Rattus norvegicus: one gene and its partners. The protein of the gene in region 1 interacts with the protein of each later gene in a biochemical or structural test. Links are inferred from orthologs where the notes say so. Each region holds a gene or a part of one and is shown in the gene's direction. Other genes may lie near its edges.

Region 1 (3,500 bases):
GTGTCATTCATCTGTGAGTCAATCTTGATGCTTTTAAAAACCTTCGTGTTGTATTTATTCGTGTGTATGGGGGGCAGTGTGTACCACAGCATGCACATGGGGAGGTTAACGGACAACTAGTGAGAGTCAGTTCTCTCTCTAGTTGGGTGTCTGGAATCAAACTTAGATAGTCAGAATTGGTGGCAGTCGGCTTTACCTGCTGGGTAAAGCCCCTCCCCCGCTCTAGTTCTTTGCTTGCTCCGTCCCTGTTGCTTAACCAACATCCTGTCAGACGGAAGCCGTTGTTCCCTTCCTATAAATGAAGAACTAGAGTGAGGAGAGGGATTTGGAAGCTTCACCAGTTGGATTGTCCACCTCACACCTGCCTTGCTGGTTCCTGCAGCGATTCGTTCACCCACGCTTCCCATCTCTGTCCGCACAATGCCCACCGCTAAGTGCACTCATCCTCAAAGGACCAGAAGCCTTGGAGTACTACAGTGCCACTAGAACCGGGCACTAGACGTTCACCTTGCTTTCACTTCAGGAGCAATTTCCAGAATTCGAGATCGTCGAATATCAATTGATTATTGTAGCTACACAGGGCTGTCGAATTAGAGTCTTCCTGCTGGCACAATTTATGTTTTTGCTGATTATACCCAGGCTGTAGATAAATGTATGAACGGGACTCTGGGGCTCATCTCGGCCTCCTTTTCTGTGTGTGCTTTGAGGGAAATGAAGGTTTAGCCTCTCCCACTGCCTCTCACTGTCGTGGTCTAGCTTTCCTGTAAGTATGACAATCCAGGTCTTCTCAGCACCACCTCTTGCACTGCCTGAAAGGAGTGCATAGCTTCTGTTTTTCTGCAATAGCATCTAATTTCATCCATTCCAGTCCCTATAGCAACATGAGGTGTTGGAGCAGGTAGGGTGGCTTGAAGACTTATGGGCAAGGAGTCCACGTTAAGAAAGCTGATTTGGACCTGAGGCAGAAACTAGCCAGGCTGGTCTTGCAGGCTCTGGGCTACAGAGTTCCTTGGGATCCTTATACCTTGAGGTGGATGGGGAGGATCCGGGCAAGGCCGCACAGCATACCCACTGACCCCTCGTGCCACCTCTGGGTGTCTAGCAAGTCCCTCGGGTTCCTCAGCTGCTTCTGGATGGTCTAGGGATGGGAAGAGAGAGAAAATGGAGAAGAATCATGCCGTGGTTGTTCAGCCGACTGACGTGGCTATTTCTCTTCCTGCAGCAAAACCAGAAATCCTGACATATGACAGGCTCATGAATGGCAGGCTCCAGTGTGTGGCGGCGGGATTCCCGGAGCCCACAATAGATTGGTATTTTTGTACAGGGGCAGAGCAAAGGTGAGAAGATTATTTTTGGCACTGCTTAAAATGCAGAAGGGAAGGGCTATAATTCGCTTGAATTTCAAATGTGTTTTCAGACTTGCTATTTATTTTTTAGAATAAAAGACTGTCTTTTGATTATTTTTTTCCCTCCTATATCTGAGTGGCTTCTTAAGAAGGGATAATGGCTATACTTTTCCTGGTCGACATTAATTTTTGTTTGCTGAAAAATGATTACTGAGTGACTTCTCTATTTTGGTGGTTTATCTTTTTGGGTTTATCATGCAATTTCTAGCCCGCAGGTAGATAAAGCAATTTCCCAGGACAGAGTAATTAGATTTCCATTCTATACACAGGAGGTAGTGTGTGTGGGAAATGTGGCTGCAGTTATCATGAAAAAAAATTACCTCAGAAGTTAATTGCCAAGTAACCAAAAAGTAATGATCGCACAATTACAACACACATATGGCATTTGTGAGCAGTGGGTTCGCAAAAGTGTTTCTCCTTGATTAGGTGCCCAGCCCCCGAAACAAGGAGCATCTGCCACTGTGTGGCTTTTCCCTTGAAGTCCACACTTAAGCCTTAAATTGTCCTCTCGAATTACCTGAGGATGGAAATGGGGTCAGCGTTGCCGTTTTTTTTTTTTTTTTTTTTTTACCCATAAAACACCATGTTATACTCCAGCCTTAAAAGACTTAGGTTGGCCTCATAAATAGTAGTGGAAATCTTATTTTTCACTGAAGATGTTTTATGACAACATATCAGGACTGATTGTATCGAATGATTGTTTTAGTGTGGGTTTTAGCAGATCGTTTGGTTTGAGGGAACAATAAAGAAGGCATAAGAACTCTGAACATCGTGCCCTCTGTGGCCTGGCCTGAGTGTATTATCTCTCCTGCTCAGCAGAGTGTTTAAGTGGAAACGAACCGTGTGCCAAATGTTGGGGTAGCATGCACCATGCGAGGCTGTGCCCACGCCTCTGTCTTGCTGGATCTGTATTTTATGGCTGGAGAGAGACAGCAGACAGGGCGAACTGACGTGTGTAGGTGTTTCAAAGACAATGGGAAAAGAGGGGTTTCGGGACTGTCTCTCAAAGAGAAGACCCTGCAGCCAGAGTGGCCACCGCCACACGATGGGACCACTTCCAACATGGACCCTGGGCTCCTCCTTTTGAGTCTTTCTTGTCTTCCTTCTTGTTGATTTCTTCCAATTTCCTCCTCCGACCTCTCCATCTTCAGCCATCACACATCCTTTCTGAGAATCTGGCCTGGCAGCATCGGTTGCTGGCAGCCATTTTTGAGTCTCTTGAAGATGGTACAGCCATAAAAACCTAACCCTGGAGAATTCACAGAACCTGGTAGAAGTCCCTAAGAGTGAGGATAGAAGTCCACATCCAACCCCTAAACCTCACTTCCTCCTTCCACTCTTCTGCAGTGCCTTCCTCGCTCACAGGGCCCCAAGGGGTTTGTCTCTCCTCAGGCCGTCCTGGTCGGTAGGTATGGCGGGGAGTCTGAGTTTCTAGCTTTGCCATCAAGGTGCCAGGCCTTCATTTGACTTCCTGGCATAAGCCCACACTGTCGTCGTCCTCTTGTTGTAGGTGTACCGTTCCTGTCCCGCCAGTAGACGTACAGATCCAGAATGCGTCTGTGTCACCATTTGGAAAACTGGTGGTTCAGAGTTCCATAGACTCCAGCGTCTTCCGGCACAACGGCACGGTGGAGTGTAAGGCCTCCAACGCTGTGGGCAAGAGCTCTGCCTTCTTTAACTTTGCATTTAAAGGTAACAGCAAAGGTATATTTCCTTTTAATCCAATTTAAGGGGTGTTTAGGCTCTGTCCACCATACCATAATCTTACATCCATTCCAATATTGGTCATATCATCTCTGGTTGTGCTAGCATCATATCGTGCTGCTATCGAACTCACAGACTCGTTCCATATTAATCTGCTGGTGAAGGTTTTGCCTTTACCGATGCAATCTTAACCATTTTTCTTTCCCTGGTCTCCGTGTGTTTGTATGCACTTCCTGACTAGGAGTAATAGATGCACAATTATAGTTGGGTAGGGGAGCTTCCCTACCTTATGCACCAGTATAATTAGGACACATTAGAAATTGTTAAATTCGGGGCTGGGGATTTAGCTCAGTGGTAGAGCGCTTGCCTAGGAAGCGCAAGGCCCTGGGT
Region 2 (4,079 bases), on another chromosome or scaffold:
GTAGAACAAACTTGTGCACAAGGTGCACTGGTAAGACAACAGCAGGAGGTCTCACAGGCGAGCCAGGTCCAGTCAGACAGCAGCTGATCACTGCAGAACACTTGGGTCACTACTGTCCCCTGTAGTGGGGCATCTGCCCCTGCAGTGTGGGTGGTGGGCACTGCGGTAGGCTGACTGCAGCAGGGAGGGAGGCTGTGACTCAGACACTGTCATCAGCAATAGGGGTAGTGAAAAGTGGAACTTCAGCCAGCCTTGCTCCAAGTCTCTGGGCCTCCCTGGCCAAGGATTCCTAAGTGGTACCTGCCTGGGGACTTATAGCTTCTGGTGTGGCTTCTCGGAGTGTCATGTCCACCGGGGCCAGGCACCTCTGTCCAAACTTGTGCTTAATTAATTAGTTAGGTTTTATTTGCTTTATTTTTTTTTTTTGAGGCAAGGTCTCACTAGGTAGCTCTCTATTGTAGCCCAGGCTAGGCTCCAGCTCACAGAGATCCTCCTGCCTCTGCTTCCCGAGTGCTGGGAGTGCTCCACAGCAGACTGGCTGATGTTTCTGAAAGTACAGACTGACCAGGCTGCAGCCTGCCTTGTTCGCCTCCCCAGACAGGGAGCTCTTTCCTACTCATAGCATCTGCGCGTGCCCGAGCCGTTCCAAGCTCCCAGCTTTCCCGGGGTGGGCAACGGAAGGCTAGGACTCAGCGGGGACCCGAGAGCACCCGGCACTCAGCAGCACCCCGCCCGGACGGAGTGGGAGGAGGAGCGGGAGGAGGTGGCAGCGCGGCCGTAGAGAGGCCGGCGCTAGGACCCGCAGGGGCTCCGAGCCGGTCCCCTCCATCCTTGCCCCAAAATGAGGAAGCCTTGCAAGTTGCTCGGAGTTGAGCCACCAGGGCGCTCGGCCGGCTGGCAGGGACCCTCCAGGGGTCGCGCCCTAAGCAGGTGAGCGCGTGTGCGTGGGTGGAAAGGGGACACCACTTCGAAACGGTCCTGGACCCAGGAGCGTCGGGTGCAACGGGCTGGTTTTTTTGTTTTATTTTGTTTTTCCTGGGTGCGGCGTGCGCGTCTCTGAGTGCGCGAGCCCCGGTGGTCACTGCAAAGCCCTTGTGCGCCTGAGGCACGCGCACAGGTGCACGGGTCTCGCTGGCGCCCGTGTGGCGCACACGGGGGTGGCTGGTGGCACCTGTGCCTGGATGCACGTGCGCCTCCGCCTGCGCGGCTGCCGTGCAAACCCCATTGAGCCCGAGGCCAGGAGCGCACCCCAACCTCCCGCCCTGCCCCCTGCCAGCCACCAGCCAGGGACCCAGGCAGCCACAGTCCTGCGGTGCCGCACTGGGATGGGGTGGGTCCTCTCAGATGTTTCTTTAGTGACCCGTGGTGACCTAAGGAGCCTGGAGCCTTACAGGAATCCGGCCTCTCCAGGCTCCGCTCAGGGTCAGATTTTCAAGAATGACCTTGAGTCACGGCCCCTGCCCACCGCCTCTGCCCACAGCCCAGGAAAGAGGAAGCCACAGGCCCAGCTCTTCCTCACACACGGCCCTGGCTTCCACTCGGGACACCAGAGCACTCCACTCCTACCTCAGTTTCCCTTCCCGAGCAAAGGCAGGGCGAGGTTCCCGAGTCTCCTGGCTGGCCTTTGGTGGCCGGGAGTCTAAGGATCTTCCTCGGGTAAAGATCACTTCCCTAAAGCCAAGGGCTGCAGAGGGGCTCCACACCTAAGCTATCCAAGCGGTGATCTGAGGGAGGCACTTTGCTTCCTGGCTGCTACCTCCGCCAGGCCAGGCCAGACCCTGAGGAAGGAACTGGACCTGGGGACACTCCCAGCATGAGACTGCCTCCCTTCACAGGTGAACCCTCAATTCTAAGGAGCTTGGCACCCCACGCCTGCTGCAGCTAAGATGCCAACGGTGAGTGTGGGGCCCTGAGTCACCGGACCTTTTGGGGAGAATAGGACATGCCCCCTACAGTCCCCAAGGACCCCGCCATACTGGCCTCTGTGGCTGTTTCCCTACGCCCTCCCTTCCTTCCCCAGACTTCCCTTTATCTTATTTGACTTCTGAGACAGGGTCTCAGTATGTAGGTGTGCTTGGGATTTGATGCGTAGCCCAGGCTAGTCTCAAACTCACAGAGGTTCACTTACCCCTGCCCTGTCATCCCCCAACCCACCCTGATTCTAGGATTACAAGTGTCCATCACCACGCCAGGCATCTTCCGTTAGTTTTTGAGACCAAGTCTCACTGTAGCCCAGGCTGTCCTTTAGCTGGTCTGGAACTCCTCCTGCCTGAGCCACTTGATAGCTTCCTACAGGCTTGTGTCTTCACTGTTCCCTTGTCCTGTCTTCTGTCCCCACCAGCCCCAGCTTTTTTTCAGGTCTCTCAGGTTTCCCACTTGTCCCGCAGTAGGTCCCTGACATCCCCCTATCCCCACCCCACCCCCCGCCTCTGTCTCCTTCCCAGCAACGCTGGGCCCCTGGGACTCAATGTATGACCAAGTGCGAGAACTCACGCCCCAAGCCCGGTGAGCTAGCCTTTCGAAAGGGTGACATGGTGACCATCTTGGAGGCCTGTGAGGTGAGAGGGGGGCTGGAGGGTAGGTGGTGTGCCTTAGGGGCGCCAGGGCAGACATCCACTGGCTCCTTCCCTCCACCTGTCCCCTTCCTGTGCAGGACAAGAGCTGGTACCGAGCCAAGCACCACAGCAGTGGGCAGGAAGGGCTGCTGGCGGCTGCTGCTCTGCGACAGAGGGAGGCCCTTTCCACAGACCCCAAGCTCAGCCTCATGCCGTGAGTGACACCCTGGGGGTGGCATGAAGGCCCCAGCCACCTTCCACGGTGGCCTCACACAGCACCCTCCCCACACATCCCCACAGATGGTTCCATGGCAAGATTTCCGGTCAGGAAGCCATACAGCAGCTGCAGCCACCCGAGGATGGGCTGTTCCTCGTGAGGGAATCGGCCCGTCACCCTGGTGACTATGTCCTGTGTGTCAGTTTCGGCCGTGATGTCATCCACTACCGTGTCTTGCATCGAGATGGGCACCTCACCATTGATGAGGCCGTGTGTTTCTGTAATCTGATGGACATGGTAGAGGTGACCTGTGGGGGAGGCTGGGGCGGGAGGGGTGGAAATGTGGATGGTGGGCCCCAGCAGCTGTCATTTCTGTCTTTAGAACTGGGGTCACCTCCCCAGGGCGCCCTCAGCTTCCATTCTAACACCCCACACTGTTGCCATGGGAACGTGCTCACCTTAGCCTGGCACTCAGGGGAGTCTGCCAACCTCATGGAGTTTGGGTTGGGGGTAGTGGAAATGGGATCTGAGAGCCAGAGGCTCATGGCCGCCGGCTTCCACAGCACTACACCAGGGACAAGGGCGCCATCTGCACCAAGCTGGTGAAGCCCAAGAGGAAACAGGGCGCAAAGTCCGCAGAGGAAGAGCTCGCCAAGGGTATGAGCACTGCTCCTGCGATAGGTAGCTTCTGCGTGCACACCAGGGAGACTCCCACCTCCCGGACTCCCACCCTCATGCCCCAGCCCTGGCTTGGTTAAGCCCTTGCACCTTGCAACCCTGTCACACTTTTCCAGTGGGGTCTGGAGTCCCAGAGACAAAAATCACAGTGGAGAGAGCTGTCTGTCGCGTTTGAATTTTCAGCGTGGGGGCAGGGTGGGGGCTAGAGGTCTTTGAGAGGGAGGGAAGGAGGGAAAAAGGGAGGGCTTTCAGAGACAACTGCAGGTCTGTGCAGAGTACAAGATTAGGGAGACTACAGCCCTGGAAGATTCTAGAACTTTTATTCTGTGTGGATCAGCAAGGGGAAAAAAGGTCCTCCCAGAGGCATGGAAGGCCACAAGGGCAGCCACACTTCTTGTCCCCAGAGGGAGGTCCTGGAGCCATGGCTCATGTCTAGGGGACCTAGGAGACCTAGGGGGATTGTACTCTGATGGAAGCCAGGGCAGCTCTGGCTTGCAGGATTTAAACGGTACCAGGAGTGGGGTGTCCTTCAGACAGCCTTAGTGCAGCTGCTGGGGCAGGCACATGCTCAGGTGTGCACAGCTGTGGGGATGGATGTCAGCTCTCCAAGTCTCACTGAATGCAAGCTG
Region 3 (4,126 bases), on another chromosome or scaffold:
ACTTTGGCTTATTAACTTTTTTTTTTAAACAATGGCAACTGGGCTAATTAATAATCAAAGCAAATTTGGAATAGTCCTCTCTTATAAGAATGACTGGACAGTATGCTTGTTCCAAAAAATTACTGATGGGGGTTTCAGGCTAATATATTTCTTACAAAAATAACAAAGTGCTTTGCTTTTTAAAAAAATTATTCCTCAATTACATGTAAAAATGTTGAAGGGTTTTGGGAACAAGAACGATATATATATTATTTTTAATTAATTAATTTTTTTTAGGGCAGTAGGATCTGGATTTGAACTCTGCTACTTGACTATTTGGGGAAATTAACCTCTTAGGGCTATTTCTTAATCTGTAAAATGGAAAAGACACACACACTCGTGGACACACACACACACACACACACACACACACACACACACGGGAGGGGAGGGATAGAAACACACACCAGGCTCTACACACTAGGCCCATGGAAAAGAGATAATGCATGAATAGTTCTTGCACAACACCTAGTATGTAATAAAAGATACATCGCTTAAGCGTGTGAGCTATTACCATGAACATTCCATTCTTTCCGATTTTACAGACTTTCCTAACCTAAAAGTGGAACTTCCAAAACCCTTGCTGTGAGAACCCATACATTTAGTGACCTATGTTTTCCAAAGGTACTGTAGTAAACTGTTGAAAACTGCATCTCCCTCAGTAATATTTGATTCTGAGTCAATTATTTTCTCACTAAAGTAATAGAGGAGAAACAAAAGGAAAAAGGAAAGGAAGGAAGGGAAGGAAGGGAAGTAGAAAGAAAAGGAAAGAAAAACTGGCTAAGACAATGGCTAAACCATGGAGTGTAATTAAACTTTTTGTTGTTGGTTCTATTTCCCCGAGGCGGGGTAGAAGAAAAGTCTTTGCTCAGAACCAAGTGAAGTCCTCCCCGCCGCACCGCTCCAGAGCTGGGACCCTCTCCAGAGCGCACAGTACAACGCGGGTCCCCGGACAGTACTGGGTGAGCCTGCTAAGGAGCTGGGACTCTCGGAGCCCAGCGCGCGGCGCGGGCGGCTACTGCAGGTTGTTCAGCGGCATCGGAGACACCCGGTGCCTCATGGACTCTGGCCAGTACCCAGACAGGGGACGCACCAGGCTCGATCGGTCCAACCTCTGGGACAATCCCCGCCCTTCAGCGCGCTCCCGGGTCTCCCAGCCTAGGCTCAGCGCGCAGCTTGCCTCCCGGAGGCTCCGGAAGGGAAGGAGGCGTGTCCGGAGCGGGCGGGCGGGCTCTGTATAAAAAGCGCTGGCGGCGCAGCAGCCCGGGCTTCATTTGCTGTCTGTCACCGGGACTGAGAGTGCCGCGGGAAAGCAACGGCCAAGGACGGGGCGCTGCGCTCGAGCTACCCAATGCTGGGACTATCTGCAGCCGCTGCTCGTGCAATATGCTGGAGCTCCAGAACAGCTAAACGGAGTCGCCACACCGCTGCCTGGGCTGGATCGCAGCGCTGCCTTTCCTTATGAAGAAGACACAAGTGAGTAGGGCACGCCCGGGAGGAGCTCGGAGGCTTTCCAAGAAAATCACTCCCGGAGCCCCGGGGAGCCCGGCGCACCCTGGGACCGGCAACCGGGCCATGTGGGGCTGCGCCCGCCCGGTGAGCCAGGAGGGTGTGGGAGAGGCAGGCGTGGTGTGCGAGCCGGAGCCGCCGCCCCGGGGGTGAGCCCGGGAGCTGGGGAGAGCCAGGGCTGAGAGTGAGCCTGTGGCAAGTTTGCAGCCGCAGCTGCAAAGTTTGAAGCTGTCAGTGGCAAACCGCAGATGCAGGCTTCCCTCTTCGGCCTGGGGGTTCGAGTTATCACGGGGAAGGCTTGTTTTTTTGGGGCCGGAGGTCTCTCCCTGTGGATTCGGGTAGATTATGAAACAGCTTCCCACGCGCTACCCTCGCTCGCTCGCTCGCTCTCACAGTCAGATTTATCTGTGCAGTCCCCAGGTGGGCGCGGGACGCGGTGCGGACGCGGGTGCAGCCGCTGGAGCGAAGCCAACCCAGAACTCCTAGGCGGCAGCGCCAGGCGGGGTGCAGAACCTGCCCAGCAGGCGGGGGAAACTTGGCAGCCTGCGGTGTCGGCCGGGTTCACAGCTCTGGGTGGGCCCTCCAGAAAGCTCTAGATGGAGTAGTAGTACTTCCACACTGCATGACACCCCCTTCCATTACAAAACAGTAAAAGTTCTTTTCTTCTTTCTTCTTCTTCTTCTTCTTCTTCTTCTTCTTCTTCTTCTTCTTCTTCTTCTTCTTCTTCTTCTTCTTCTTCTTCTTCTTCTTCTTCTTCTTCTTCTCCTCCTCCTCCTCCTCCTCCTCCTCCTCCTCCTCCTCCTCCTCCTCCTCCTCCTCCTCCTCCTCCTCCTCCTCTTCTTCTTCTTCCTTCTTTTTTTTAAATGTGCATCTCCTAAGGATAGTTATTGAGATAATGTCCAGGGTCTCTAAATTGCGCTTTATGCATAAAACACAGCCCGGGGGTACAATTATGTCTTTTCTTCGTTGACGGCGGAGGGGGCGTAGAAAGAGCCTCTGTAGTAATCTTGTTCTCTTCTACAGTTCTTTTTAGCCTCGTGGTTGCTATCTCTTCAAGATTCTTCCTTTCCGAATTTGTTCTGTCATCCGCAGCAGGTTGGGTAAAGCTGCTCTTTCACACACACACACACACACACACACACACACACACACACACACACCCACACACACCCGCCCCCAATTCTATAGTTGATTGAAATCTCTGAAATGTGTAGAAGGGGATGGGATTCGAGGGTTTGTGCTCTTTTTCAGCATAGATGAAGATATCAATGTGCTGCCAGTAATTTATTAAATTGCTCATAGGACGTCTTATTTTAAATAGATATCTAGCCTGGGATCCGACCCTTTAGGAAACAGCAAGAATAAAGCACCTTTCCCTGGCTTAGAAACGAATAAGGGAAGCAGTATGGCCTGCCTGTCACCCTGGAGGTGCTCTTCTTAGAACACTTGCCCTGAGTGGGGCTCAGGGGAAAGCAGGTATCCGCCCCTGCGTGCAGGTCAGTTTTTACCCAAAGCATCCCACCTGAGATCCTGCTCTTGAGATGAGGATGTTAAGAATTGCAACAAAGAAAAGTTTCGCCCTGATTGCTTGGTGTGTACATGCCTTCTGTTTGGTAGAATAATAAACAAGGGTGGGGTAGCTATTCCTTTTTTTTTTTTTTTAAAGTAGCATCCGCTTACATGAATAATGGTGGCTGCTCTGAGTGTGGCAGCCCCCGACACAGGAAGAGAGTCCGAGCCTTCTTATTTAAACAAGAAAACAGGAGACAGACAAGGTTAATGTCCAACAGTCAAAGCAGAGCTGTGCGCTGTGGAGTCACTTTGAGAGTCAGTAGGATTGATGTTCCCTGCGCCCTCTTTGCAAAACAAGCGAGAGCCCTGTAATCTCTTTTCTCGCTTTGATTAAATGGCTGTGTAAATAGGATTACATGGAATAATTCCATTGAAAACTAGAAAGAGGTCGATCTAGCCCGAAACGCTGTGGCGGTGGCCGTGGCGGCAGTGACTCAGTGCTGCCGACCAGAGATATTTGAGACAGTTAAGTATTTTAGAAATGTGACCTGTTTGGACCAAGTTAAAGTGCAGGCCCTTTGGGGGGGACATGCTGCTGATAAAGGGTTTGTAGGCAAAAAGAGGGCGGTGCTTTCATTGAATGGAAGCATTCATTGTCTGGAATCTAATGACCTTCAAGGTTTCCTTTAAGGATACTTCTAGCAATTCACATTCTTGTCCCTGAAAGAGAGGGCTCTGGAAATGACTTAAAATCAATAAAATAATCCCTTCTAATGAAGGAGGGGATTAGATTCTCTTTACTATTGTCAAATCTCCTGATCCAAGAGCCAAAAAGAAATGTTCTGTGCCACCCTGAATGTGTAGAGAGAGAGAGAGCATGGTGTAAGGGAACTGGACACTAAGAAAACGATCCAGGCTTTTGGCTTCTTTAATCTGATGTTATCTTAGCCTGGGAGGAAAATCTATTGTTATTAAATAGCCTACTGTAAATATGGGATCGATACCAACTTCCCTTATTGCACCCCCACCCCCATTCAATATACTCTCTTTACCCAATAAATAAAAA
Region 4 (3,500 bases), on another chromosome or scaffold:
ATTGAGAACTGTGTCTAGGGTTACTTGCCAACAGTAGTGCTTCCCATGTATGTACATGTGCTGTACGGGGTCGAGTGACGGGGCATGCCCCTCCGCTTTACTCCACACGGCCCCATTGTCTTACCTCTGCAGTGTGCAGTAAAAGCTCTCTTCGACTACAAGGCCCAGAGAGAGGATGAGCTGACTTTTACCAAGAGCGCCATCATCCAGAATGTGGAAAAGCAAGATGGTGGCTGGTAAGATAGGCGGTCCAGGCTAGAGAGCCTGTGGTGTGGTGGTACAGGAGTCCAGGGCCCCTGTGGAGCTGGCACTGAAAGCCCTTGTGACAGATGCTTTGAGCATTTGTCTCCTGTTCACGAGCAGTGTTTGCCTTGGCTTGCCTTATGTGTGGGAATCCCCCAAGAAGATCTTGAGAGTTCGGGGTGGGTGCTGGAGTCAGTGCCCTGTGGCTTCCACAGGTGGCGTGGGGACTATGGTGGGAAGAAGCAGCTGTGGTTCCCCTCAAACTATGTGGAAGAGATGATCAATCCAGCAATCCTAGAGCCGGAGAGGGAGGTATGTCTGCAAACACACAGTGTCACAGGTTTGTTTCCCTGACCCCAGGTTCTCTTTTGATGTGTCTATCACACCCAGGCCTTCCTGTCATCTGTGAGCCACACATCCTGTGTGGCCACACTCTAGTCTCTATTGTACGTATGTCATGCTTGGCTGGTCGTGAATATACCAAAGATAGTCAAAAATCCCCTCAGTTGAGCACGCAGCAGCCAGCTGACCATCCTGTGGTTTTGCCTCCTACAGCATCTGGATGAGAACAGCCCACTGGGGGACTTGCTGCGAGGGGTCTTAGATGTGCCAGCCTGCCAGATCGGTGAGCTCCAGTTCCTAGCCCGTGATTCCTCTTAGTGTCAGGGTGTCCTTGTGACTCTGTCTGCTCCTGGAGAGGAAGCCAGTGGCTGAGTCTCCAGAGGCTACTCTTCCACTCTGGAAATCGCAGACTCCTTTGTCATCTGTAAATTTTACTCTGTGCCAGGTACAATGGAGTCAAAAGTTGGCAGAGACCCCGACAAGCTGACATCCAGTCCTAATGGTTTAGACCACAGGGTTGGGACAGGAGCTTGGAGATGGGTTAGGGTGGGGGTTACAAAACATGGCTCCATGGAAGAGGTATGAGTCAGATGGGTTGGAGCCTTGGCTGCACCACAGCCACTACGGTATATATGTCTGACAGCAGACTCCTCTGTGGACTGGAGCTGTGTACCAGTTTTGCCTGTTTGTAAGTACCGCTAGGAAGAAACGGAACGAATTCCTTTGAGCTAGTGTCTAGGGCAGTGCTTCTCAGCCTGTGCATTTCAACCCCTTTGGAGGCCTAACAACCCTTTCACGGGGTCTGCATATCAGATATTTACATTATGATTTATAAATGTAGCAAAATTATGAAGTAGCAATGAAATGGTTTATGGTTGGGGGGTCACCACAGCATGAGGAACTATATTGAAGGGTTCACAGCATCAGAAAGAACAAAATGAGAGCATTCTTAGCCCTGTATTATTTTACCCCCAACAGCCATTCGTCCTGAGGGCAAAAACAACCGGCTCTTCGTCTTCTCCATCAGCATGCCGTCAGTGGCTCAGTGGTCCCTAGACGTTGCCGCTGACTCACAGGAGGAGTTGCAGGACTGGGTGAAAAAGATCCGTGAAGTTGCCCAGACTGCAGATGCCAGGGTGAGAACCTGCCAGAGCTTAGAAGGTGCTGCTGCAGTCTTTGAGGGCACTCGTGGGCCTGCCCAGGAGCCAAGGCCTCCAACTCCCCGGCTAGCTCCTCTAGCGAGGGTAACTGATGTGGCCTGGCCTTAGATAAGGTGCCCAGAAGAACAGACTCAAGACAGGATTGTGATGGATGGACTTAGGAAATGTTGAACATTAAATACTGTGGATCACCTGAAAGAGTAAAGGCCAGAGCTAAGAGAAGAGGGGTCCTGGGCTGGCAGCAGGAGTGGAATCAGGCTTAGAAGAGATGAGATGGTAAAGGTAAGAAGAGGGTTTAGGGAAACATTTGTAACAGGGTGGGGGTCTGGGACAGGAGGCAGAGAAGTTGCAGATACCCACCCACAGCAGTGGAGCTTGGCTAGCTGAGGGCCACAGAGGTGTGGTAAGAATGCTGTCCATTGGCTTTAGCAAAGCAGCAGATACTCCTAGTGACACAACTGAGGTCTCTTAGTGGCATGACAAGGTTGGATGGCAGTGGGTCCTAGGGAGTTTAGAGTGACTAGCATGAAGAGCTGGGAGCTGGCCTTGGTGGAGAGTAGGTAGCTTGCATTGTTGGAGGAGACCTCTTCCATTGAGCCTGGTGGAGCATTGCAGACGTGTAGGAACCTCTACTTAGAGGCTGTGCCCCAGTGCATTTGGTGAGCAGATTTGTGACTAGAGGATTTTGTTAGTGTGTCCTGGAGGGCAGGGTACTGAAAGATACAGGGGCTGAAGGGCTAGATCCTCCAAGAGGTGTGTGGGGAGTGTCTGAGTAGGCTGCAGCTAAGGTCAGGGATAGTAGAGGAAGGTTGTGTTAGCCATGGAGGACATGAGGTGGTAAGATCGTCTAAGGCACACATTGCCAAGTGGGCCTAAGGCCTTAAGGAATCAGGAAGCATTGTTTTTGCTGAAGGATGAGGCTAGGTAAAGAATAATCAGAAAGCATTACTGGGAAAGCCTTGCCCACCTTCGCTCCATGTGAGGTCATTTGGGACATTAAGTTATGGTGGGGGAACAAGTGTATCTGTGGAGACAAAGGAAAAGATATTTTTTTTTGGATGAAACTGGCAGCCAGTAGTTTTGTTTACTGTCTGCTGGTATTTAAAATGTGCAAGGAGAGGAGAGGGCCTCAGAACATCTGAAGTGAATGTGTACCCAAGGCTGGCAGGAGCTTCCTTCTCCTGGGCAGGGCTCAGCCTGGGCCTTGTGTGTGTCTCCAGCTTACTGAGGGGAAGATGATGGAGAGGAGGAAGAAGATCGCCTTGGAGCTCTCCGAGCTCGTGGTCTACTGCCGGCCTGTTCCCTTTGACGAAGAGAGTAAGGCTGGGTCCAGGTGTGGTGTGCATGCGCCGAGGGGCTGGGGGTGTGAGAGTGGTGTTTAATGCCCTCTCCCTTACATACACTGCACAAGGGGGCCGCTCTATACATGCTCTCACTGTTTGGCTCAGAGATTGGCACAGAACGCGCTTGTTACCGGGACATGTCCTCCTTTCCGGAAACCAAGGCTGAGAAGTATGTGAACAAGGCCAAAGGCAAGAAGTTCCTCCAGTACAACCGGCTGCAGCTCTCTCGCATCTACCCTAAGGGTCAGAGGCTGGACTCCTCCAATTATGACCCTCTGCCCATGTGGATCTGTGGCAGCCAGCTTGTAGCTCTCAATTTTCAGACCCCAGGTGAGGGGATCCTCTGTGGGTGGGGAGAGACACTTAGGGCAGTTCCGCTAGAATGTACTGTAATCCCACTCTTCCAGACAAG
Region 5 (3,500 bases), on another chromosome or scaffold:
CTACCTGCCTCTGCCTCCCAAGTGCTAGAATTAAGTTGTGCACCTCCACTGCCCAGCTATCATATACCATTCTTATTGATACAAGTATATAATTTTTCTTACCCTCAAATCTTTCCAAATCTTTTTTTTAGATGGTATTTTGGCAAAATGGGGAGAAAAGATGCTGAAAGATTACTTCTGAATCCTGGGAATCAGCGAGGTATATTCTTAGTAAGAGAAAGTGAAACTACTAAAGGTATGAGTATCATATTAATATGTGCATGGAATTCATTAACCGTAGTTCAAGGAAACTGGAATGAATGTGTTCATTCCCACTTTCTCCGCAGGTGCTTATTCCCTCTCAATTCGTGATTGGGATGAGGTAAGGGGTGACAATGTGAAGCATTACAAAATCAGAAAACTTGACAACGGTGGATACTACATCACGACCAGAGCTCAGTTTGATACTCTACAGAAACTGGTGAAGCATTACACAGGTTAGTGAACACTTCAGAGGTAGGAATTAATCCTTTATGTTCTATTTTATGAAGACAAGTTTATCAAACTTTAATCTCATTTATATCTACACACAGTAAATGCCCAATAAATGTTGGTATTCTGGGTTGGGTTTTTGTTTTGTTTTGTTTTTGAAAATTATTTGTGTATAATGTGACTGTGTGTACGTACGCACACATGCTATGGTACATATGTGAAGGTTAGGTGACAATGAGTCAGTTCTCTCCTCATCCTATGTGGGTTCTGTGGATGAAACTTAAGTTGTCAGGCTTGACCACAGGTACTAGCTGAGCCATCTTGCTGGTGCTGTGCTCTAGTTTCAAAATGAGGAACAAGACTTGCATCTTGCCCAGGTGGTAGAGCAGGACCCTGACTCAGAGAAATAAATAATGATGATACCTGGAAACTGAATTGGGTTATAGGATAGCATGCGCAAATCAAACTGTTATTGAAATTGTTATGTCTTCCTGGCATGGTATTTACATTGGAGTTCTAGATCATAATATATAAATGCTAAGATAGATTGTGACAATAAATTAAAAAACATGACAACAGACACTTTATTTTTGTACACTAAGTAGCTAAAATTAAACCTTAAACTTGTAGTATAAAAAAGCTTTCTCAGACCTGAAATTGTAGCTCAGTGGTAAAGCACTTAATTATGTGTGCAGAAGTTTCTTCTCCAGCACTGCTAAAAGGAAAAGAAAGAATAGAGTCATAAGCCCTCAAATGCCTTCTTTGATTTCCTTCTGTAGAAGCTGAATCTATTAATACCTTCTAAAATATAAACCCTACCAAATCCAATTTGAAGATGCTATTTCTTACCAAAGAAAAAATGAACTTATAGCAACTATAGACATTCTTATCTATAGAATGTCTTTTGAATTCTATTCTGGAGTCCTGGGTCTTAAAATTTTTCATTGTCAATTAGATATGTAAGTGCATCTGAAAATTTTTAAATAATTAGAGGGGAGGTTTCCATGGCAATTCTTCTGTGACAGCTAGCAGCAAACAAACTATCAAGTCAATCAACAAGTTTGCCATTGATTGAAAGTGTTGTTAAGCTAGCATTACTTGTAATTGCCTTTGTTATAAAGGATTTAAGTGGTTACTTGATGAGAATGGGAGGAAATGTGTCTCATTTACAATGAGAGGTTTTATATAAGCAGGATACACAAACCAAGCCATTTTGAATCTGGACTGGCTGCCTTCAGGTCTCCTTTATTTAAAATTCAAACTCTTATATCAACTTCTTCCTTGATTTTCAGAGTTTTACGAATTAGTGGTTATTATAAATAACAACTAATAATGCATCTCCCTGGGGGAATACATGAATCTTAATGGTCAAAAGCATTTTAAGCTGTGGTGCAGGCCTGTAATTCCCTCACTTAGAAGGCTAAGGCAGGAAGAATCTGAATTCAACTCTCAGATACCCTACTACCTGCCAAAAAGCAGAGTGGAGTTTTGGAAGCAGACAGACTTGTGTTTGAATGTTCTTATTTACTAGCAGGGACCTTGAGACAGTTCTCTTAGCTTTTCCAATCTCAATTTATATGAAAGATTTATGTAGTGCTGACTGACATAATAACATAAGCATACATACTCAATAAATATTAGCATAAAATATATTTCTAAAGTTTCATTTATATATACTCCATCTTCTATTGAAAGCTTCCCATGTTATATATCTTTTTAGAATAATACTGATAGGAGACTGATTTAAATTTAATGACGAGCTTTTAAAGAAAAACAAATAATAAGCCAAATATGGTGGCATATACCTTTAATCCTAGAAGCAGGTAAATCTCTGAGTTCAATCCAGGCCAGCCAAGGCTACATAGTGAGATCTATCTCAAAGATTGATCAAATAAAAATCATCATATGATTACAGACACTAATGTTCTATTTGTCTTAGAAAGTGATTCATTTGCAGTGTACCCTTTTATCTATCTAGAACATGCTGATGGATTATGCCACAAATTAACAACCGTCTGTCCAACTGTGAAACCGCAGACTCAAGGTCTCGCAAAAGACGCTTGGGAAATCCCTCGAGAGTCTTTGCGACTCGAGGTTAAACTAGGTCAAGGATGCTTTGGTGAAGTGTGGATGGGTAAGAAGCCCAAGCTTTGTTGTTACTTCATTTTGTTATATGGCCATAAGTTAAAATAGCAAAATATTTTATTATATAATACAACTTTTATTGTTGATTACATTTTGATCTAAAATTCCTTAAAATACAGATTGAAAGAGTAAAATAAATTGTTCTTTCTAGGAACATGGAATGGAACCACAAAAGTAGCAATCAAAACACTAAAGCCAGGTACAATGATGCCAGAAGCATTCCTTCAAGAAGCTCAGATAATGAAAAAATTAAGACACGATAAACTTGTTCCGCTCTATGCAGTTGTTTCTGAAGAGCCAATTTATATTGTCACTGAGTTTATGTCAAAAGGTATGTACATATGAATCGTTTTTTAAAGGATTGTGTTACAATGAAACAATTTTAATCTTAGATAAAAAAACATACAATATATCTTAGTCATATCATATTTTTTCTCAGATCCCCATTCAACCCACCCACCCACCAAACTTTATATTCCTTCTCTTAGAAAGACAGACAAAAAAGTATGAAGACAAACCCAACACAAAATTAAAAACAAAAACATGGAGTTCATTTTGTGTTGCCCAACTGTTCCTGAGCATGCAACCTTCTCTGGGGTGTTTTTGATATACCCAGTGTCTCTCCATTGGAAAAACTGATTTTCCCCTTTCTCAGCAGTTGTCAATTGCAAATAGGCTCTTGGTTAGGAGTTGAACCATGTGCTTTGCCTTTTCTGTGCTAGGATTTATCGGTGTGAACTCTGCAGGTATTGTGCATGCTATATATGTGTGTGTGTTTGTGAGTTCCTATATGTATCAGACTTGCTGTGTCTAGAAAATGCTGTTATCCTGGAGTCATCTACCACTTCTGGCACTTGAATAGAGCCCTGAGCCTTGATGGAGAG
Region 6 (2,442 bases), on another chromosome or scaffold:
GAAGCCATGATTAGAAAACAAAGAAAATTATAGAACTTAATTTTGGATATCTGAGGTTCCTGGGCATTGTGAAGTTTCTTTCTTTTCAATAATGTTTTAATCATTTCTGTGTTTAAGTAGTCAGTCAGTAAAAACTCTCATTTTAATCTAAGTTTTTCTTTGGAGTGGTCTTTTGGGATCTCTTGGGTTAGGTGAACATGCGTTTCCTCCTCTCACTGTGCCCACACACAGGTGGTTGCTGGAGGAGATGTGAGTGTGGTCACGGGTCATCAGCAAGAGCTTGCCAATCCTTGCCTTGCTTTCACTGGGCTGACTTCCAGCACTATATTTCCGGATGACTTAGGGTGAGCAATACATTATCGGGTGTGTCATTTATTCCTTGAGACAGTTGCAGTCTCTGTCCCATGTTCCGGGCACTCACACTGAGGTAAAATAAATGGAGAGGGCATATAAAGTAGAGAGTGTCAATGCTTCTAGTCAGCTAGTCAGATGGGTGGGTTACAGACCACTGCCTGGTCAGAACTGCCTCGAGTATAAACAGTTACCTAGTAAGAGATGAATAGACTACAGACAGCTATTCACCCTACCACACTTCCTGAATTTTCAGTTTTGATATTTTTGAGAGGATATTTTCTTGCTCTTGTTCATTGAACTTTGATTGAAAATACTGAATATATTAGAAAATAACACTAAATATAAAAGCATTGGGAAAGATGAAAAGTAAAGAGAGACATTTAAATTTTCAAGTTATTTGATGCTGCCCTCATTTTGTTCACAATTGACTTTCCTGTCTGAAGTTGAAACTATTGTTTATGACCTTGCATTATGGCCCTTTGAACTTTCATCCCCTCACAATAAGCTGGAAAAAATGAGAATGAGAGTTTCTGTGCCATGAGAACATGTAATAAATAGCATCTTCCTTATCTGTAAATGCAGAATATGCTAGCTATAGTCTGAGTCAGGTAAAGCACAGAGCCAAGGGTTGGGGTGGGGGTGTTTGTGCGCACATGCATACATATGCGTGTGCACATTCAGTTGGGAAACCTTTTTTCTCCTTTCCTTTTCTGTAGCCCTCCACAGTCTAAGACCATAACACTAGACCGAGGACCAGATGGCTTAGGCTTCAGCATTGTAGGTGGCTATGGCAGCCCTCATGGAGACTTACCAATTTATGTTAAAACAGTGTTCGCAAAGGTAAGCTTGCAGTTGTTAACCACTCTGTTCCTTACTAAACATTAATTAACACTGGTCAGCAGCTGGCTTATTAGTTTATGGCCTGAGGTGATGCCAAATGGTTAACACTGATATTTTCTTTTGAAATCCCTGCAGGAACAGGTCATTAAATATTTTTGTCCTGTTTGAGGTTTCATTATGTTTAGAGAAAACTAGTTCAAATTGTAACTCCATGGAAACTCTCAGCAATATACATGACATAATCAATGAAGCCTGTCCTTTCCATTTAATAGCAAGTCACATACGATTATCTTTGGAAAATGGACTTGCATAAAATGTCTACTGTCGAGGACTGGCACGCTTTCCCCTGTGTTCCTTTATAGTTGTGAAACCTAAAGTAGGTACTGAAAAATACACAGAATTAATCTCACATCATGACTAGGGTGTTTATACATTTGAAGAGTGGTGAGCAGACCTGCTGTCTACAATAAAGCATTATTTGCAATCAAGGAATTCAATTACTTTGGAAAAGAAAGCTCTGTATATAGTTGTAGTCATCTACTAAACTATCTTGGGAATGTTTAGAATAAGAATAAAGAGACCGTAGTTTTGATGAAGTCATTAAAATAATAGAAATGCATATAATGGTTGATAATGTGTTATTAAGACCTATTTTCGAAGACTACAAAATTGAATAATGTTTCCTGCAGAAGAAAACTAAGAATCTAACATTTTACAGCACAAAATAGTGGAGTGAACATCAGGCCTACAGAGACTTCGTTCGGTCTCTTTAAATTCTATGGCCCTTGATTTTATGGAAGTTCCTATTATTTTAGAAAAATACTACTATTTTCAACCAATTTAAAGTGCTGTTCCGTGGCAAACTAGCTGTAGGCTTAATTTGTGAGATTTTTTTTTAAAGTTATTGGTATATCCAAAAATACAGACAGCATTTGCCAATGAATAGAAGCACCATGCAATCCTTTCCCTCGGCCTAGGAACAATTTATTTCAGGCTTGCTAGTTAGAACATATTTTAAGAATTTCATCATTATACTCTCCTCATTAACTTTTCCATATTTTTAATCTTATATTTAATTGCATAATTATCGTCTATGTGCGTGCCTTAGATGGAGTTCTTTTTTAAATAGTGATGTCTGTGTTTAATCATAATTATTTAGGGCCTATAGGAATAAGAAGAATCTCTTTTCCCTTGTAGTAAAAACCAAGACGGCTTGAGCAGGCTTTCCTTGCAAAGCGTAGAAAGGAT
Region 7 (4,147 bases), on another chromosome or scaffold:
GCATTGGGTGCCATGAAGCCTTCTGCTTGGTCCCTCTGTGTCGAGGTCTCAGGACCTCTCAAACTTTCTCTCCCTTTCATCTTTCATTTGGTTGTTTATTAAGCACCTGCTGTGTACCTCACTCTGTGCGCACCAGGAATTAAAAGGAGAGGGGGTTACATATAGCCAAGGCTGGTACAGTAGTCTGGGGGCTCCTGAAAGGATTTGGAGACCCCCTTCTAAAGGATATGACTTGAAACATTTTTGTTGCTTGCTCTTCCTTCCCTCCCTCCCTCCCTCCTTCCCTCCCTCCCTCCCTCCCTCTCTCCCTTCTTCCTTTCTTCTGTGCGCTTATGGGAAGGCATGTATGTGAACCACGAATGTGTGAAGGTCAGACGTCAGAGGACAGCTTGCAGGACCCTTTCTCCCATCTCTCTCTCCACCATGTGGGTTCTGGGGACTGAACTGAGGTCAGCAGGGTTTATGATAGGTGCCTTTACCTGCTGAGCCATCTCCCCAACCCAGGAAGTGACTTTGAGCTGAGAGTTGAAGTAAACTGATTGGGGAGATGTCTTAGTAAGGGTTATACTGCTGTGAACAGACACCACAACCAAAGCAACTCTCATAAGGACAACATTTAATCATTTAATCGGAGCCGGCTTACATATTCACAGGTTCAGTCCATTATCATCAAGGTGGGAACATGGCAGCATCTAGATAGGCATGGTGCAGGAGAAACTGAGAGTTCTACATCTTCATCTGAAGGCTGCTGGCGGAATACTGGCTTCCAGGCACCTAGGATGAGGGTCTTATAGCCCACACCCACAGTAACACACCTACTCCAACAGGGCCACACTTTCTAATAGTGCTGATCCCTGGGCCAAGCATATACAAACCATCACAGGAGGGGAAGTTGTCAGGGAATTTGCAAAGGTCTTGTGGCTGGAAGGCCTGGCCATCTCCTCTTCAAGCCACTATACTGCTGCTTCAATTAACACTTTTAACACCTTTCCCCCAGTGTTAGACAACTTGTCAGACATGTATTCATTCAGCAAAACTTAAATGAGTCCCTCCTATGTGCTGGGGACACAGATATGACTCGTGTCCCTGCCTATGAAAGACTAAAGCTGACTTTGGGTCCTGCTGGACCCAGGGCTTTGGACTGGTATATATGTCTTCTATCTGTAGCTGTGTCCTAAGGCGCCAACATCTCATTTTACAGGTGAAACTGTGAGACGAACTCTCCCAGGGTGGCAGGGTCCCCTTCTCAGGACCTTAGTCTGCCTATCTGTTTAGTGGGTAGGGTGTCTTGTCTGTTCCCAGATCTCTCCTCTACCTGGGGGATTTCTGTCGCCCCCAGCCAGGACCATGGGCAGCAACAAGAGCAAGCCCAAGGACGCCAGCCAGAGGCGCCGCAGCCTGGAGCCCGCGGAGAACGTGCATGGGGCAGGTGGCGCCTTCCCTGCCTCACAGACACCAAGCAAGCCTGCCTCCGCCGATGGCCACCGCGGGCCCAATGCCGCCTTTGTGCCCCCCGCGGCCGCCGAGCCCAAGCTCTTCGGAGGCTTCAACTCCTCGGACACTGTCACCTCCCCACAAAGGGCGGGGCCTCTGGCAGGTAGGCCCTCCTCCTTGCTGAGTGTCCCAGAGCTGTGGTGCACCCTTTCTGGGTTCTGGGGACTTGGTTTTCCAGAGGCTGCGAATGGAGAAGGGCTCGTAAACTGGAAAGCGGGGCTCCTGCCGCTTTGGGGATGCCAGATTCAGAGTATAACGGGTTCCGAAGGAGAGGGTTGTAGGGGACCCCGAGACCCGGAGGAGAAGGACCACCATGGACTAGCTGCCACCTCCCGCCCAGCCTTTGTTCCTGGCTCTGTTGTGTGGTGGCCCGAGTGCGCCCCTGCGCCCTCTGCTGGCGCTGCGTGGTGCGGCAACCCTGCCGCCCAGGGGCTGAGCAGGGTGACTCATGCTCCTGCATACATGGCTACACCCACACGAGCAAATCCCACGCTCTGACGGAGCCATACTCACGGCTGCACACCCGTGCGTGCAAATCCCGCACTCGGACTCAGCCACACGCACGGCTGCACACCCACTCGTTCAGATCCCACCCAGACTCAGCCATGCTATGTGCCCACATTGGGCATGTCCTCGCACTGAGTGGAGACGACAACAACAACAAAAGGCCCCCAGTGTTCCTAGAGACACACCTAGGCTAGACGCCTGCAGTGCGGAGCACACACAGACACAGGTGTGCATACAACCTCGCCCCCTCAGGTGGGCCTGTGCGCCTGCTTGCACGCAGAAAGCAGACATGGGCTAAGGTTCCCAGCCCCACATCCCACCACAGACCCTTGGACAGGCTGCCCACTCCCTGCCATGCAGCCACACACCCATTCGACCATTTGAGAGGCGTTTGTGGAGCCTTGGGCAACGGAGGGTGGGCTGCAGGAGTCCAAGGAGCAGCCGTGGGTGAGGGGAGAATCAGGAGAAGAGTCCTGAAGCTTTGCACCAAAGCCTTAAGTTGCCAGGCACACATATAGGCGGGGCTTAGGGCACCTATTGTGTGCTGGGTCTGAGTGCAGAGCAAGGGAACCTGTTCTCTGGGGCTTCTGCTTGTGTCAGTAGACATATCAGATAAGGAGCACCTAGTCTGCAGCCCGGCAGGGAGGCACAGGCTACTTAGCTCCCTCTCAGGGACAGGCTGGTGAGTGAGAAAGGCAGCCTCCCACGCCCACCCCCTGCAGGGTTCTGACACCTCCCATCCCACTCTGCAGGTGGGGTGACTACCTTTGTGGCCCTCTATGACTATGAGTCACGGACAGAGACTGACCTGTCCTTCAAGAAAGGGGAGCGGCTGCAGATTGTCAATAACACGTGAGTGGATGGACGGGGACTGCACTGGGAGCGTGGGTCCATCTATACCCAGAGCTGCCGGCAGAGGGCGGTGCAGAGCCTACAGGGCTGCTTCTGCAGTTGGTGGGTGGTGGTCCTCCCTAGACCCCGACTAGTCTCCTCCCTTGTCCTGGGTCCTGTCTTCGCACCTCAGCCTCTCCTTCTCTCTGCTTCTCTCTCGCTGGCCCTTAGGAGGAAGGTGGATGTCAGGTGTGTACCGAGGCCAGGTAGAGGGGGATGCTTCGCTGAGGCTGGGGACTGCTCTCTGCATGTGCTTCCTCCACTACCCCTGTGTGTCTCCAGCTCTCTCCCTGTCCTTTTAGCTTATCCTGCATCCCACCTGTTTGATCCGACCCTCCATTTTCTCCCCACACCTTCCCGTTAGCTCTCTTCCTCCCTCTTCTGGTGTGTGATTCCATGACTGGGTGCCAGCTACTTGCAGGACCCAGTGTATTCTGGAGGCCAGGGAGGGAGGCAGTGTGGTGGGGAATGGGTTACCCCAGACTAGGCCAGGGGTGGGTAGGAGCAGTCTGGGGTCCCTGCAAGATGACCCTGAGAGAGGGGGCTGTCTCTATCGGACTGCCCATCCAAGGAAGGACAGTAAGCTACTGCAGGTAAGGGTGGGCAGTCTCCCTGGGAGGGGGGCAGCTGATGGTCTGTGCTGGGCTGAGGACCTCTCCCTGGAGCAGGTAAGGCTTGGGGACTTTGATCTGAGCTGTTCTGGAGGGTAGAGAGGATCCGTCAGAGAGTGCTCCCAAGTCCTGGCTAAAGAGGTGGGTTTTCCATTTCCCTATGCGTGTCTCGGTGCTCATACCTCCTGATCCTTGTGCATGCTACTCCGTTTGCCTGAAATATTTCTTCTCCTGTATCCACCTGGTGAACTCCTATTCACCCCTCAAGATCCAGGGTAGGGCTGCCCTCCCTGCAAGCAGGTGCCATGTGCTGTTCTGGCCACTCTCATTCATACCCCTCCATCTTGTTATCACTGGTCTTGGGGGCAGCAGTGACGGGGGAGGGGCTGCTCTAGTTTGTGAACGAGGAAACTGAGGCTCAGAGTCATGAAGGCCCTTGTCAGAGGTCACGTGACTGCCAAGTAGTAAGCCCAGAATGGAGCCTGCTCTCCTTTCTCTGGACTGGCACCTGGGGAGGGGCCTCCTCAGTACCTCCTTCAGTGGCCAGCGCTCCTTCCATCCTCATGGGAAGCCCCTGAGTCCCCATGTCCCCAGCTGTTGATAGAATTGGTGGCCAGGAGGAGAAGCGGTGTGACCCTGGTGCT

The links.
Region 2: the proteins of Kit (region 1) and Matk form a complex in vitro, tested with the Homo sapiens proteins (2 studies listed by BioGRID). The link is inferred for Rattus norvegicus from reciprocal best matches to the Homo sapiens genes KIT and MATK.
Region 3: the proteins of Kit (region 1) and Kitlg form a complex in vitro, tested with the Homo sapiens proteins (3 studies listed by BioGRID and IntAct, with this or other methods). The link is inferred for Rattus norvegicus from reciprocal best matches to the Homo sapiens genes KIT and KITLG.
Region 4: the proteins of Kit (region 1) and Plcg1 form a complex in vitro, tested with the Homo sapiens proteins (3 studies listed by BioGRID and IntAct, with this or other methods). The link is inferred for Rattus norvegicus from reciprocal best matches to the Homo sapiens genes KIT and PLCG1.
Region 5: the proteins of Kit (region 1) and Yes1 form a complex in vitro, tested with the Homo sapiens proteins (2 studies listed by BioGRID and IntAct, with this or other methods). The link is inferred for Rattus norvegicus from reciprocal best matches to the Homo sapiens genes KIT and YES1.
Region 6: the proteins of Kit (region 1) and Mpdz form a complex in vitro, tested with the Homo sapiens proteins (2 studies listed by BioGRID and IntAct, with this or other methods). The link is inferred for Rattus norvegicus from reciprocal best matches to the Homo sapiens genes KIT and MPDZ.
Region 7: the proteins of Kit (region 1) and Src form a complex in vitro, tested with the Homo sapiens proteins (3 studies listed by BioGRID and IntAct, with this or other methods). The link is inferred for Rattus norvegicus from reciprocal best matches to the Homo sapiens genes KIT and SRC.

What each region holds. Positions count from the first base shown.
Region 1 is NC_086032.1:32,916,313-32,919,812, reverse strand, and holds part of Kit (mast/stem cell growth factor receptor Kit precursor), read left to right. Parts: intron 1-1,222; coding exon 1,223-1,337; intron 1,338-2,916; coding exon 2,917-3,110; intron 3,111-3,500. UniProt on the Homo sapiens protein: Tyrosine-protein kinase that acts as a cell-surface receptor for the cytokine KITLG/SCF and plays an essential role in the regulation of cell survival and proliferation, hematopoiesis, stem cell maintenance, gametogenesis, mast cell development, migration and function, and in melanogenesis.
Region 2 is NC_086025.1:9,109,947-9,114,025, reverse strand, and holds the start of Matk (megakaryocyte-associated tyrosine-protein kinase), read left to right. Parts: upstream 1-1,279; 5' UTR 1,280-1,330; intron 1,331-1,367; exon of another isoform or gene 1,368-1,656; intron 1,657-1,835; 5' UTR 1,836-1,886; coding exon 1,887-1,895; intron 1,896-2,444; coding exon 2,445-2,558; intron 2,559-2,653; coding exon 2,654-2,769; intron 2,770-2,855; coding exon 2,856-3,075; intron 3,076-3,335; coding exon 3,336-3,429; intron 3,430-4,079.
Region 3 is NC_086025.1:36,781,334-36,785,459, forward strand, and holds the start of Kitlg (kit ligand isoform 1 precursor), read left to right. Parts: upstream 1-1,326; 5' UTR 1,327-1,500; coding exon 1,501-1,515; intron 1,516-4,126. UniProt on the Homo sapiens protein: Ligand for the receptor-type protein-tyrosine kinase KIT. Plays an essential role in the regulation of cell survival and proliferation, hematopoiesis, stem cell maintenance, gametogenesis, mast cell development, migration and function, and in melanogenesis.
Region 4 is NC_086021.1:169,829,299-169,832,798, forward strand, and holds part of Plcg1 (1-phosphatidylinositol 4,5-bisphosphate phosphodiesterase gamma-1), read left to right. Parts: intron 1-132; coding exon 133-236; intron 237-458; coding exon 459-555; intron 556-798; coding exon 799-868; intron 869-1,563; coding exon 1,564-1,721; intron 1,722-2,965; coding exon 2,966-3,062; intron 3,063-3,193; coding exon 3,194-3,418; intron 3,419-3,495; coding exon 3,496-3,500. UniProt on the Homo sapiens protein: Mediates the production of the second messenger molecules diacylglycerol (DAG) and inositol 1,4,5-trisphosphate (IP3). Plays an important role in the regulation of intracellular signaling cascades.
Region 5 is NC_086027.1:120,684,860-120,688,359, forward strand, and holds part of Yes1 (tyrosine-protein kinase Yes), read left to right. Parts: intron 1-131; coding exon 132-235; intron 236-326; coding exon 327-476; intron 477-2,449; coding exon 2,450-2,605; intron 2,606-2,767; coding exon 2,768-2,947; intron 2,948-3,500. UniProt on the Homo sapiens protein: Non-receptor protein tyrosine kinase that is involved in the regulation of cell growth and survival, apoptosis, cell-cell adhesion, cytoskeleton remodeling, and differentiation.
Region 6 is NC_086023.1:100,814,063-100,816,504, reverse strand, and holds part of Mpdz (multiple PDZ domain protein), read left to right. Parts: intron 1-231; coding exon 232-344; intron 345-1,070; coding exon 1,071-1,194; intron 1,195-2,442. UniProt on the Homo sapiens protein: Member of the NMDAR signaling complex that may play a role in control of AMPAR potentiation and synaptic plasticity in excitatory synapses. Promotes clustering of HT2RC at the cell surface.
Region 7 is NC_086021.1:166,543,341-166,547,487, forward strand, and holds the start of Src (proto-oncogene tyrosine-protein kinase Src), read left to right. Parts: upstream 1-1,347; coding exon 1,348-1,597; intron 1,598-2,753; coding exon 2,754-2,853; intron 2,854-3,063; coding exon 3,064-3,081; intron 3,082-4,147. UniProt on the Homo sapiens protein: Non-receptor protein tyrosine kinase which is activated following engagement of many different classes of cellular receptors including immune response receptors, integrins and other adhesion receptors, receptor protein tyrosine kinases, G protein-coupled receptors as well as cytokine receptors.